3 linked regions of the Drosophila melanogaster genome follow. The protein of the gene in region 1 interacts with the protein of each later gene in a pairwise test. Each region holds a gene or a part of one and is shown on either strand. Other genes may lie near its edges.

Region 1 (3,757 bases):
TTATCTGGTTTTTAGACAATGGGAACTGGGTTCTAACATCTAATCAATTACAATGACAATGCCAACTAATAAGTAACTTAATAATCTAAAGACCATTCATTCTCGGCAATAAAAGAGTCAACCACTTCCTTCATTGAAAAATTTGGTATTAGTTGATCCTGAGTGAGCTTAACGCGTGTCACAGGATCGAAATGTCCAACCCGCTGCAAGTGTTCTTCTATATCTTTTCGTTCATACGTAATTCCAGATGGAGTTATCACAGGGTCTGTTAATATTTCAAAACTTATTTTGCCACATAGAAAATCGGGAACTTCACGTTTCTGTAATATGTAAATAACAATATTAGAACAATATTTTTAATATTGGTTATTTTTCCTTTAGTTTCTTACCTTTCGACGTTCGTCAACCTTAGAAAATATATTGTTAAGTTCCTTAATATGGTCATCCTAAAAAGTAAAATTAGATTGTCAACTCCGCTAAATATTCTGGTTAAAGTCCAACTTACGCATTCTTGCTCAATTTCCTGTTGCTTGTCTTTCAGCTGCTCATCGTGTACATTTCCATTCAGCTTTAAATTGGCCAAACGGCTTTCCATGTCCCCTTTTATTAGACTGAAACATAAATATTTAGGTTTTGCACAAATTTCGCTTTTTTTAATATATATTCTATCACATGAGGACAACAATTGCCTCGATATCGTCGTGCGGTGACTAAATTTAGTTTGCAAAAGGCATCTAGAGAATTCGAATAACATCTTACCCATTTAAATAGCTTTGCAGCTCGATTTCCTGCTGTATTCGCTTCTCCTCCATAACATTCCAGCGCTTTTTGCGAGCTAGTCGCAACTGTAGTGTAATATCATCCCCAAAGTTTTGCTTCTGCTCCTTGGACAGATCGTATGCTATAAGTTTCATATATGGTTAGTTAGTGTAGAGAACATCAAAGGTCAGGTATTATCTAACCCCGTTGAAGGTGCTTTATAGCCTCGTCAAAGTTGTCGATTTCCATGAGTCCTTGGCCCAGGAAGAAGTGACCCTTCAACAGATTCCCATCGATGTCGAGGGCGCGCCGACTATCCTGGCAGCACAGTTCCCATCTCTTCAGTTTCAGGTTGCAGAGGGCTCGGTTTGTGAAGTATGTGGCGTTTGTGGGGTTCTTTATCTACATATTATATGGAGCATAGTGCACATGTAAACAACAAAATACACATCACAATAACAAAAATATGTGAGACACCTACGATGGCCTTTGAGTAGCAATTTATTGCGTCGTCATATTTTCGGGCTGCAAACAAGCAGTTTCCCTGCTCCTTTAATTGCAGATCTGATAAATTGGTCGTGGAATAGATGTGCTTGGTCGTCATCCTGACGAATCTTCTGCGCCTGGTCCCAAATTTGATTTTCCACCGATGAAAAGTGAGTGTGTGTCCAACAACACCGAAGCACTCGTAAATTTGTTTCCTCTGCAAGAATTGGGGAACTGCTGCACGAACTTAACAGTTAACAAAGTATTAAGTGGGAAACGGTAGTGACTTTTGAACGCTCATAACACCAAAAAGATCTTGAGCTATTCGCCTGTATTTAATTAAACATAAAACAATTTTCAGCTACGTTAATCGATGTGTTTCTAGAGTTGCCAAGACTCACAAGCTTAAATTAAAGCTGCACATTCATCGATTGCACTATCACCGCCCAAACGATACTTTTGCCACACTATCGTTTGCACATTTCAAAAACAACAGTGCCATTTTCGAGTTTCTCGACTATCAGATATCTCTTACTGAACTAGTGGGTCTAATAGAAGAATCTTTCGCTATTCGTCACTAGCGCAAGTAACTCGGATACATAATTTGGTATATCTGACCAAATTTAAGAGCCGACAGAATCAATATGAATATGAATTTTATTTTAAGTCCAAACCAAGTGCAAACTAATTGAAACCTCTTGTAAAGTATACAGTATACAATTATAGAACAAAGTATTTGCAGAAAACATGTTAAAACCCAAAGAATTTAACATTTGTTAACTAAGGCCTACAAGTACAAATCGAAATCTATGCGGTTGCTTGTATAGAAATTTGTGTTTTCGCCGCACTTTCGCACATAGACTCCGTTTTTAAAGTAGTTCTCCTGGGACCATTTCAACATTTTCTCCGTGGAAAAGGGTCCCTGGATATCAGTCTCATCCTGCGACCATTTAAACTCCCAGGTCACCTCTGAGGTAGTCGTCGTTGGTTTGGAGCTATCACTCGACGATGTCTTAGAGCGCTCCAATTCTTTCGTTTCGAAATCATCTGCATACATATCAATATCATCGGCTACTTTAGGTTTGCTCGTTCCTGGCAAATCGGCGATCTTGGCCTTGATGCTTTCGTACGTATCCTGATATATATCCATATTGCCCGTCTTCGAGAGAATCTCGTTGGCCAGCTCGGTGAGCTGAGAGATTTCCTGTGTCTTTGGGTCAACGATGCCGGCCTTTTTCTGCTTAATCCTCTGAAGGGTTGTTAGGACGGGGCGCTGCTTACCCAGACGCTGCAGGGTCATCTTGACAGTCTCTCCCGGTTTCATAAACTCGACCATTTTCATGAGGTTCATGGACAAGTTAAAGGCCTTGCCCACGGGTTCGTTCTTCTCCTCATCGGAAGAGTTTTCTTCATCTTTTGCCGGGTCGAAGGCGTTCTTCTGTGTGCCAATCTGTTAGGCAAATATTGCTTTTAAATTAAATGATTGTGTACAGGCAGCAGTGATGGAATCCTTACTTTAACCCAGTCTATGTTGTCCAACCAATTGTCCTTTGCTTCCGTCTCCTTGTTCCAATGGTAGTGACCATCTTTGTCGAAGTGTCCCTCCTCCAGTTCTTCCTTCATATTGAAGGGTGTTACCTTCACATCGTCTTCCACTTTTGCCACGCCCTCCTCGCCGCCCTCAATGTCGCTATCATTGAGGTATTCCCTGCAAACAAAAAGTGCCGAAATCAAAACAATCAATTGTTTGCACATTTTAAGCATTACCTTTCGTAGTCGTCAGAATCCTCTTCATCGGAGTCAAGCGTGTGTTTCTTGAAGGATTCCTCTTTCACTTTCTGGGATGCTTGGTGCTTTCTTTTGCTCGCCATTTTATCAAGAACTCAAGACAAAACTAAATGCAATGTCAATATTTTTAAGCGACTATTGATTCTATTTACGTTAGTGAAGGTAAGTCTGATATCGATAGCTGGAACATATGCTGTTCCAATACCAATGTTCCTGTAGTTTCTAAAATTTATTTAAATTATATTTAATTAATGTATATATAATATGTTTTGTATTCCATTTGATATATAGTATGATTATGTGAAGAAAGCTTATAGAAATAGACTTAGATTTGATTGATTTGCAAGCTGAATAAGAAGATATTAATATACACCTACTCGCATTTAATATATTATCATTGTTATTAAAAATATACCTTTTCATTGCAGTTTGAATTAATAAATCCTCAACATTTTTAAAGTATTAAATATCGAAACCAGTCTTAAAACCATCGACTGTTAACTGCGCCTGCGCTGAGTTTTCGCGTAAATTCTTTTCCTCCAATGTCATCCTGCTTGTGAGAGGTCCCTAGAATCAAAAGTTAATAGTTTTTTTTTTCACCAATCCGCTGTGTTACAATTAATTGTCGAATCAAAGGTTTAGCCAACCAATTCCTAAAATTATGGTAACCAGCGACCGCCATAATCAAACAAAAATCCGCCAAACCAGAAGCTAACCAGAGAAA
Region 2 (3,757 bases), on another chromosome or scaffold:
TGTCGGCGACCAGTCGTATCCACCTGTCCGTCTGCGTCCTGCCACCTGTACTGGTGGTACTGGTGGGCGGCGCGTTCGCGGCCCGATAATGCCGAACATATGGCGAGTCGCATGCGCCGAACGAACGCACAGGCCTTCGATGCGAATATTAAGGGTCCTGCTTTAAATTACAATTAATTTTTAATTAGGCTTAAATTAACATTTTCAAAGACGCTTTGGAGCTGCATTAATCAATTAGCGTACTCGTATACAGAATGCTCAGGCAAGGGGGCACGCAAGTCAAGCGAAACAAAACGAAATATCTTAAACTCTAACTTTGCTCATCACAATTGGTACTCGCTGAAGGGAAGCTGATTGTATTCAGGGGCTGGTTACCTAATCGGGTTTCATTTCCGGCTGCCAAAGAGTTTGCCGCGCGCTGCAGGGAACGAAATGATGAGTTTGCTTTGGTCTAGAAATGTTTGACTTCACTCTGGCACTTACCATGCGATGTGGCTGGGGACAGAGCGTGCGAACTGGCGTGCCGTTTGATGCGCGGAGTATCCCTTAGCTCTGAACCAGATGCGGAGGAGGCACTTGTGCAGGCATTTGAATTGGCCGTCACATTGGTCAGGGTGGACACTCCGCTGCACGAATCCCCTGTGGTTGGCATTGATTTGTAGCGCTGCAGCGAGGTGCGCGGCTTCTTCGGCATTGTGGCCTGCTGCACTGCCTCTTCTAGGGCGTTTAGCCAGTCCTCGCCCTCGCTTTCGTCTTCCAGAAATTTCATGTAGAAGGAGGGTCGCTTTGCCGTGTGGTGCCTAGTGGGTGTGGTGCTTGTGCTTGATTTGGGAGGTTCATGGTGTTCTATTTTCGACTCCAGTTGCTGGGAGGCCTCAAGCAGGAAGAGATCCGTCTCCGAGTCGTTGAGGAAGTCTGCCATTGGATCGGAGGCAGCTACAGGGGAAAGCACTGGCTCTGGCGTAGCCTTCGTGCAGGTTAATCTTGTGCGGGGAGCAACAGGTGACGGAGCTTTAGGAGTTTTTAGTGGCATTACTGGTTCGGACACAGCTATTTGCTCCAACTGGCTATTGAGCCTAGCACAGCGCTCCTTAAGAAGAACATTAGCCCGCATCTGCTGTGCCCGCCACTGCTCATTGTCCAGTTGGCTGCGTCTATCCTCGACGCCCTTAAAGGCTATCTGCCGGCGTCGTTCGCGCTGGCTCAAACTGCCTATTTCCGCGGAGTCGAAGCCACTGTCCGTGGTGGCATTGCTGCTTCGGTTCCAGCGCCAGCCCACCTCCGGACTTTCGGTGGCCAGTGTCTGGGAGAAGAGGCAGCTGGGCGAAAGGCTGATGTCCAAACGGGGCGAGAAGTCCACACTGTCGTCCAAGCTGGGCTTGTGTTTGTGTGGTGGAGTGCTCTCCAGGTCGGACGTGATTCCCACTACTGCTGAGGAGTTGGGCGAGCCGGGAGTGTCCACGGATACACTTACATTGTGCCCTGTGCGTACGCTCTGTGGTGAAGCTATTAACAAAGGATTGTTTTATGGATATTCCTGATTTTTCGAGCTTGGAAATCCTTACCACTGTGGCGCTTATGCAGCAGACGCGTGCTGAGCGTTAAAGATCGCCGTTTAAGTGCGTTCTCCATAACTTTGACTTAACAATAAAGTGAACTGCAGTCAATTATTTAACTAATCAAATTTGTTTTGTTTTGCGCTGCGGAATGCGCTAAAAATTAAAGTAAGCCGACAGTGTTGCCAGATGGCACTGTCAAAACTCACATGGTCACTCTGCTATTCAACTCGTTTTGTTTATAGCCCTTTTCCACTTAAACGCATAGTTTAATAAAAAAATCCACTCTCCAAAATCTATGAAAATATTTTATCTTTAAAATACAATCAATTTAAATTTTCATCTACATATGTTCTTTTATATAATGGCTGACTTGATGATATTTCTGTTACCACCAATGCAAGAAATCAGTTATTTGAGTACTGAGACATCCATTGGCACATAAATCCATATATCGCAATAAGATGAACAATAGGAAATTGTCTTAAAGAAAGTTTAGTGTATAAATAAAATAGTGTATAAATTTACATATAAGTAAACTTACGGAGTAAACGTTATAAAAATAGAGAAATGTACAAATATACAAAATATAATACAAAAAAAAAAAAAAACAAAGATATCTATAATTTTTTTTTGTAACTTTTAGTATTTTATCTATCGGAGTGCAAACATTCTGGTAGGCGGTCATGCTTTGGTATTTGGCAACACTAAACTCCGGTCACACAACAAAATGCTTATGGTGATGTGTTAAAAAGCGAAATTTTGAATACAATTTACTGATCCAGAAAGATGAACTACAATCCAAATCCGGGTATGCGGAACCGTAAGTGGGAGAACTGTAAGGATCAGGCTACGCAAGCAAGTATACCTGAAGGATGTCCGGTGCAGCCACTCCGGAATTTCCCCACCCGCCGCTGACCGGAATCGGAATCCGGAGTGCTGTCACTGTTTACGTTACACGTTACCCCGTTTTGTGCGCCGCTCCTGGCTTCCACTGCATCCTGCTCCCCAGTTTCTATGCCTGCTGTGCGTTTCCGTTCCGTGATGCGTGTGTAGCTTGAGTGCCTGTGTTCCCCGCTTCCCAGTTGTATCGTTTAGATCCTCCGGCACTAACTAATGGTTGCTCTGTCCCAAAATAGCCTCAGCTGCCGGTCGCCCAAGGCCGCCGAAGCGTGTGAGTGATGTTAACGCCATGGGACCCTCGGCTCCGATGATGGGCGGTGGCGCCACCTTCATGGCCCCGCCCACCGGCCCCGGAATACTAGATCCCAATATGTACGGAGCACCTGCTCCGGCCCCGGTCAACAGCTATGGCTTCGACCCCAATCTCGGCCAGCCCTCGCAGCACATTCAGCAGCCACCACAACAGCAGCCCGGATACGGATATGGAGCACCACCTCCCCAACAGGCGGCTGGGCCACCCACCTACGGAATAGGAGCACCTCAGCCTGTAGCTCCACCCACTGGACAGTACCCACAGTTCGCCATGTTCCAGCAGCCCATCGTGCAAGACATGGCTATGCAGTACGGTCAGAAACTAGCGGATCAGGGCAAGCAGATCATGGAGAATCAGTTCGAGAAGTGGGTGCCCGTAGCCAAGCTCAAGTACTACTTCGCAGTGGACAACGCCTACGTGGGCAGGAAGTTGCGCCTTCTGTTTTTCCCCTATATGCATAAGGTGAGAGTGGTGAAGCACAAACGGAGAAACCATATAAATTACATACTCCTTTCAGGATTGGTCCCTGCGCTACGACCAAGAGCACCCAGTGCAACCACGATATGATGTTAATGCGCCAGATCTCTATCTGCCCACCATGGGCTACATCACATACGTGATCGTAGCGGGTTTGCTTCTGGGCATGCAGAAGCGATTTTCGCCGGAGCAGCTCGGCATTCAGGCCTCCAGCGCCATGGCATATAGCATTTTCGAATTGGTCATTTACTCCCTAGCCCTGTACGTAATGAATGTGAAGACGAGCCTGAAAACGCTTGATCTGCTGGCATTCACTGGTTATAAGTACGTTAATATAGTTGTCTGCCTGATGGTTAGCACGCTGTTCTTTAAGTCTGGATATTATATAGCACTGGCGTATACCAGTTTCTCCTTCGGTTTCTTCATGGTGAGTTTGCGCTTGCTCTACACTTGTGGAGCAATCAGTAATCTTACCTTCATTGTAGCTCCGCACGTTGCGGACGAAACT
Region 3 (3,757 bases), 7.5 Mb from region 1:
GCACAGCATAACTGCGTAGTTTTGCTCTCGCATGCACAGTGGGACAAATTCAAACATTGAGCGCGAACTTTAACCCTTCTACTTTCTTGTGTTGCAAATATAGATAATAATATTAGACTGACCTGACATATGCTAAATATGTATTGTTATATCCAAAATGTTGTTCTATTTTATTTGAAATAATGGATTTCGGTCCCAACTAAACTCAAAAGACAACCTATGCAACAATTTGTAAATGTATAGAAATAAGTAAATGCACCTGACACGTTTCAGGATAAGCTTAAATGCCATTGCACATCAGTGAGATGCAGAAGTGCTGTTTTATTTTCAATATACAGCTTGGGCACAGTTGCACCATTGTACCATGCGAGAAGTAACGGTCGCGAAGAAGAAGGCAAATAATAAAAAGCTGCAGCCGCAAGTTGCGCAGCCTGCAACAGCTCCGGCAACATAACGGTACTCGTTCGCTCGCTCTCTCTTTCTCCTGGCTCGGCACTTAACCGATGTACCCTACATTTGGCTTCGCAAAACATAAACAAGGAAATGCAGCCGTGAACACGAAACGAATTGCGGTAGGTTCTCCGTTCGGCAAAGAGCGAGCTCCAAAAGAGGCGAAGAGAGCCGGGGCTCGTAAGCCGGCCGCATTGCTGTTGTTGGAGCTGAGAGAGCCAGCACGGCACCCAAACAAACACTTAAGCAACAACAACAACGGCTGCTGACTGAAGGGAAGGTGCCAGAGGGGCTTTAAACCCAAGAGCGCAAGCTAGAAAGAGCATCAGAGAGAGAGAGAGCAAGGCAGGAGCGTAGGACGAGCTCAACTTGACATCATCATCATTTGTGTCAAAAGACCATTGAACTTTGCGAGCGGATGGAACAGAACAGCTCCACCCCCATCCCGCTGCCTACAAGTATGCAACAATACCTCGCTCTCCTTATTTATATGCGGTTTGTTTTGTTGCTGCTTGCACACCATCACAATAACAGCAACCCACATGCATGCACTCACTTTGCATAGGTGTTGGGGCCCAATGCATCTCAAAATGTTGCGCTTTTAACCCTTACCTAACTGATCAGACATGTAAGGCCCTTTCATGAAAATGTCCTGTGTTTGGGAAATCGGGAAAATCCCCACGATGTAGTTATAAATGACATACTATAGATTTGTGTACAATAAGTGGCTGTGTTAAATCTTCTTTAGCGAATAGGTTTTTATGTAATTCATTCTTGTTGCCTTACCTTACTTGTGATGGATAATGGTCGTGTTCCATTGATGTTCAATAATATAACGCCCATTGCAGGATTCCTGAATAGGGTTCAGATATGGGTTCCTGGCACTACGGCCTTGAGCTGAAGATGAATGTTCTTGCCTCTGCGGATGTGCATATAAAATTCGGTTAATTTAATTATTTAAATGAATAATTGATTTTCAGCTTACTGGTGCTTCCCACTGCGACTGATTCTGACGTGAGCCGCCAGAGTTCCAGCTTTGGTTGTCATAAAAGCCCCTAGATTGGTTGGGATAAAGCCAAGATAGCGGTGGTTGTGGTAGATCCCCTTTATTGGGCTTCCTGTTGTTGTTCCACGCTAAGGAAGGCTGCTTGATCTTGTTGCCGTGCTTCTCCTCGATGTTCGGGGACACATTCTCGCATTTAACTTGAACCTTGTACCACGAGGCGTCTGTATGCTTACGTTTGATGGTCATATCCTCCTCGCTGGTGGAGTCATACACGTGGCCCTTGATGGGTCTCTTTCTCTGACAATTGTTGACTTTCTCTGGCTCTGGTCCTCCTGTTAATACCCCTGGAATTTGCGGATGTGCCTTACGTCGTTGGCGCTGATATTGCCTTCTCTTGTTGCGAGTGTACCTGGGGATCTCACCCACAAAATCGCTTTGATTTTGCATTCCTTATGATGAAGTTGTAAACGATGAATTCGAAGAATCGACACCACGCTGTCGAAAGCACAGCAAGTAACACGTTGAGTTGCTAACACTGACAGACTACTTTGGCGACTTACCAGCACTGATCGATTAATCATGCAAAAAGTTTTTCTCGTATTGATCGAAACTTCCTTTCGTCATGAGCATTATCAAGATAAGAAATCGTTTTAATTGCATTCGGCTTCAAGTGTTCCCCTAAGGAACAGGAGTTAAGAATTTCCAGCTTTTGTTTGAAACAGATGGACATGAATTTATAACCTTGCCTGGTCACACTGAATTTTTAAAGCATCTCCTTCCGTTATTACAACCATCCATAGTGTTAAAAAAAAGCAAGACACAAAAGGCAGTTATGTAAATGTTACAATTTTTGATGTTTTATTCGTTCGATTTATCAACTACTGTTACGGTAATTGCATATTAAATTGGTTGTTGTTCTGTTGTTGCTTAAACTTTAATAAGTGTACTTGGTTTTAGCTGCGGCTGAATTTAATTATATTTGTACAAAATATATATTTACTTTTAGCTTTGTCAATGAACAACATGTTTTGCATTCATTTTGGTTTTCTACTCGCTTTCCACGTTCCAAAGTCCAGCTTAAAACTTAATTCTGTTGGTTTTGCTGTTCGATCTGTCGGTTCGGTTTTGTTTTTGTTTTTGTTTGGTTTTCTTTTGTTTCGTTTCACTACAATAACGCTTAACAAAATAGAATTATTAACTATTACTAGGCGCGTTTCGTTTGTTTTTGTTGTTGTTGTGGTTGTTGTTGTTGTTCTTGTCGGTTGCTTATTGCTGCACGTTAATCTTGTCACTTCGAAAAAATTTAACTATGATTTCTACGTTGTTTAGTTTAATTCATCGTGTATATATATAAAAATATATATATATTATATATCTTTATATATACCAATATATAGTTATTTATAGTTAGGCATGTAATTATGCTTACTTTAATTATATGCATGTTTGTGTCCGTGTCTTCCCGCCTACGTAATTGTATTATTTACATCGTTTTAATAATTAACAATACATATGTATGCATGTGTACCAATTTATAATAATTACACTTATGTAGTTGCACTGCACAATAAAGTTGCGCAAATTCTCCATCGGCATTCGGCACTCGTCATTTTAGTGATAACTTAAAATTTGTCTACAATTTAAATGTTTGTTTTCGGTTTCATTTGTCGAATGCGAGCGAATGCCTTGTTTCCCCAGAACCATTACTAATATTAATTTAATATTCTTTCTTACTTTGTTTTGCTTTCCGTTTTGTTTTTCGTTACATTTTTGCTTTGATTTTCGTAGTTTCGATTTCGTACATGCCAAAATAAAAGTCAACAAGAAAATGCTGGCTGCTCAACTCGGTCAATATATGAATGTATTCCAGAATCCTACCATCCTACCATCGTACCATCCTATCCCAATCCCCACTCATTTTCAAATTCTGCTGATTGAAGTTGGCTTAAAGTAGTTTACAGCGCTCACTTTTTGGCATTTAAAAATATATTTCTTGTATACTGGCGGCTATATGTACAGCTTATATAACTATTTCGAGGGCAAGTCTATTTCGATTGATTTTTAACTCGTTTAAGTCTACTAATGCACTATTAGTTGTTGCGTCTGTGTGAGAGTTTTGAGGCACCCATTATGAATTTATGAATTATGTTGGGAATAGACTGTGGATGAGGTGGTTTTATGGATGGGTTGAAAGAAATAAAACCAAAAGAGAAATACAATTGCGTGTATATATTTGAAATATATATTAATATAAATATATATTGTTTTCATTCATGTATTTTGTTCTAAAAACGTGTTGTG

What was found.
Region 2: the proteins of STUB1 (region 1) and CG6425 interact in a two-hybrid assay, tested with the Drosophila melanogaster proteins (one large-scale study listed by BioGRID).
Region 3: the proteins of STUB1 (region 1) and Rbp9 interact in a two-hybrid assay, tested with the Drosophila melanogaster proteins (one large-scale study listed by BioGRID).

What each region holds. Positions count from the first base shown.
Region 1 is NT_033779.5:10,435,445-10,439,201, reverse strand, and holds the start of STUB1 (STIP1 homology and U-box containing protein 1), read right to left. Parts: upstream 1,655-3,757; 5' UTR 1,364-1,654; coding exon 1,241-1,363; intron 1,162-1,240; coding exon 963-1,161; intron 902-962; coding exon 760-901; intron 612-759; coding exon 506-611; intron 447-505; coding exon 390-446; intron 321-389; coding exon 78-320; 3' UTR 1-77. Other genes in the region: holn1 (hole-in-one), read right to left, coding at 2,033-2,695, 2,761-2,953, 3,013-3,116.
Region 2 is NT_033777.3:26,715,633-26,719,389, forward strand, and holds the start of CG6425 (uncharacterized protein), read right to left. Parts: upstream 1,758-3,757; 5' UTR 1,633-1,757; coding exon 1,566-1,632; intron 1,507-1,565; coding exon 484-1,506; intron 419-483; coding exon 387-418; 3' UTR 1-386. Other genes in the region: Yif1 (Yip1-interacting factor 1), read left to right, coding at 2,346-2,394, 2,696-3,234, 3,290-3,676, 3,735-3,757.
Region 3 is NT_033779.5:2,952,992-2,956,748, reverse strand, and holds the start of Rbp9 (RNA-binding protein 9), read right to left. Parts: upstream 1,988-3,757; 5' UTR 1,436-1,987; intron 1,370-1,435; 5' UTR 1,242-1,369; intron 1-1,241.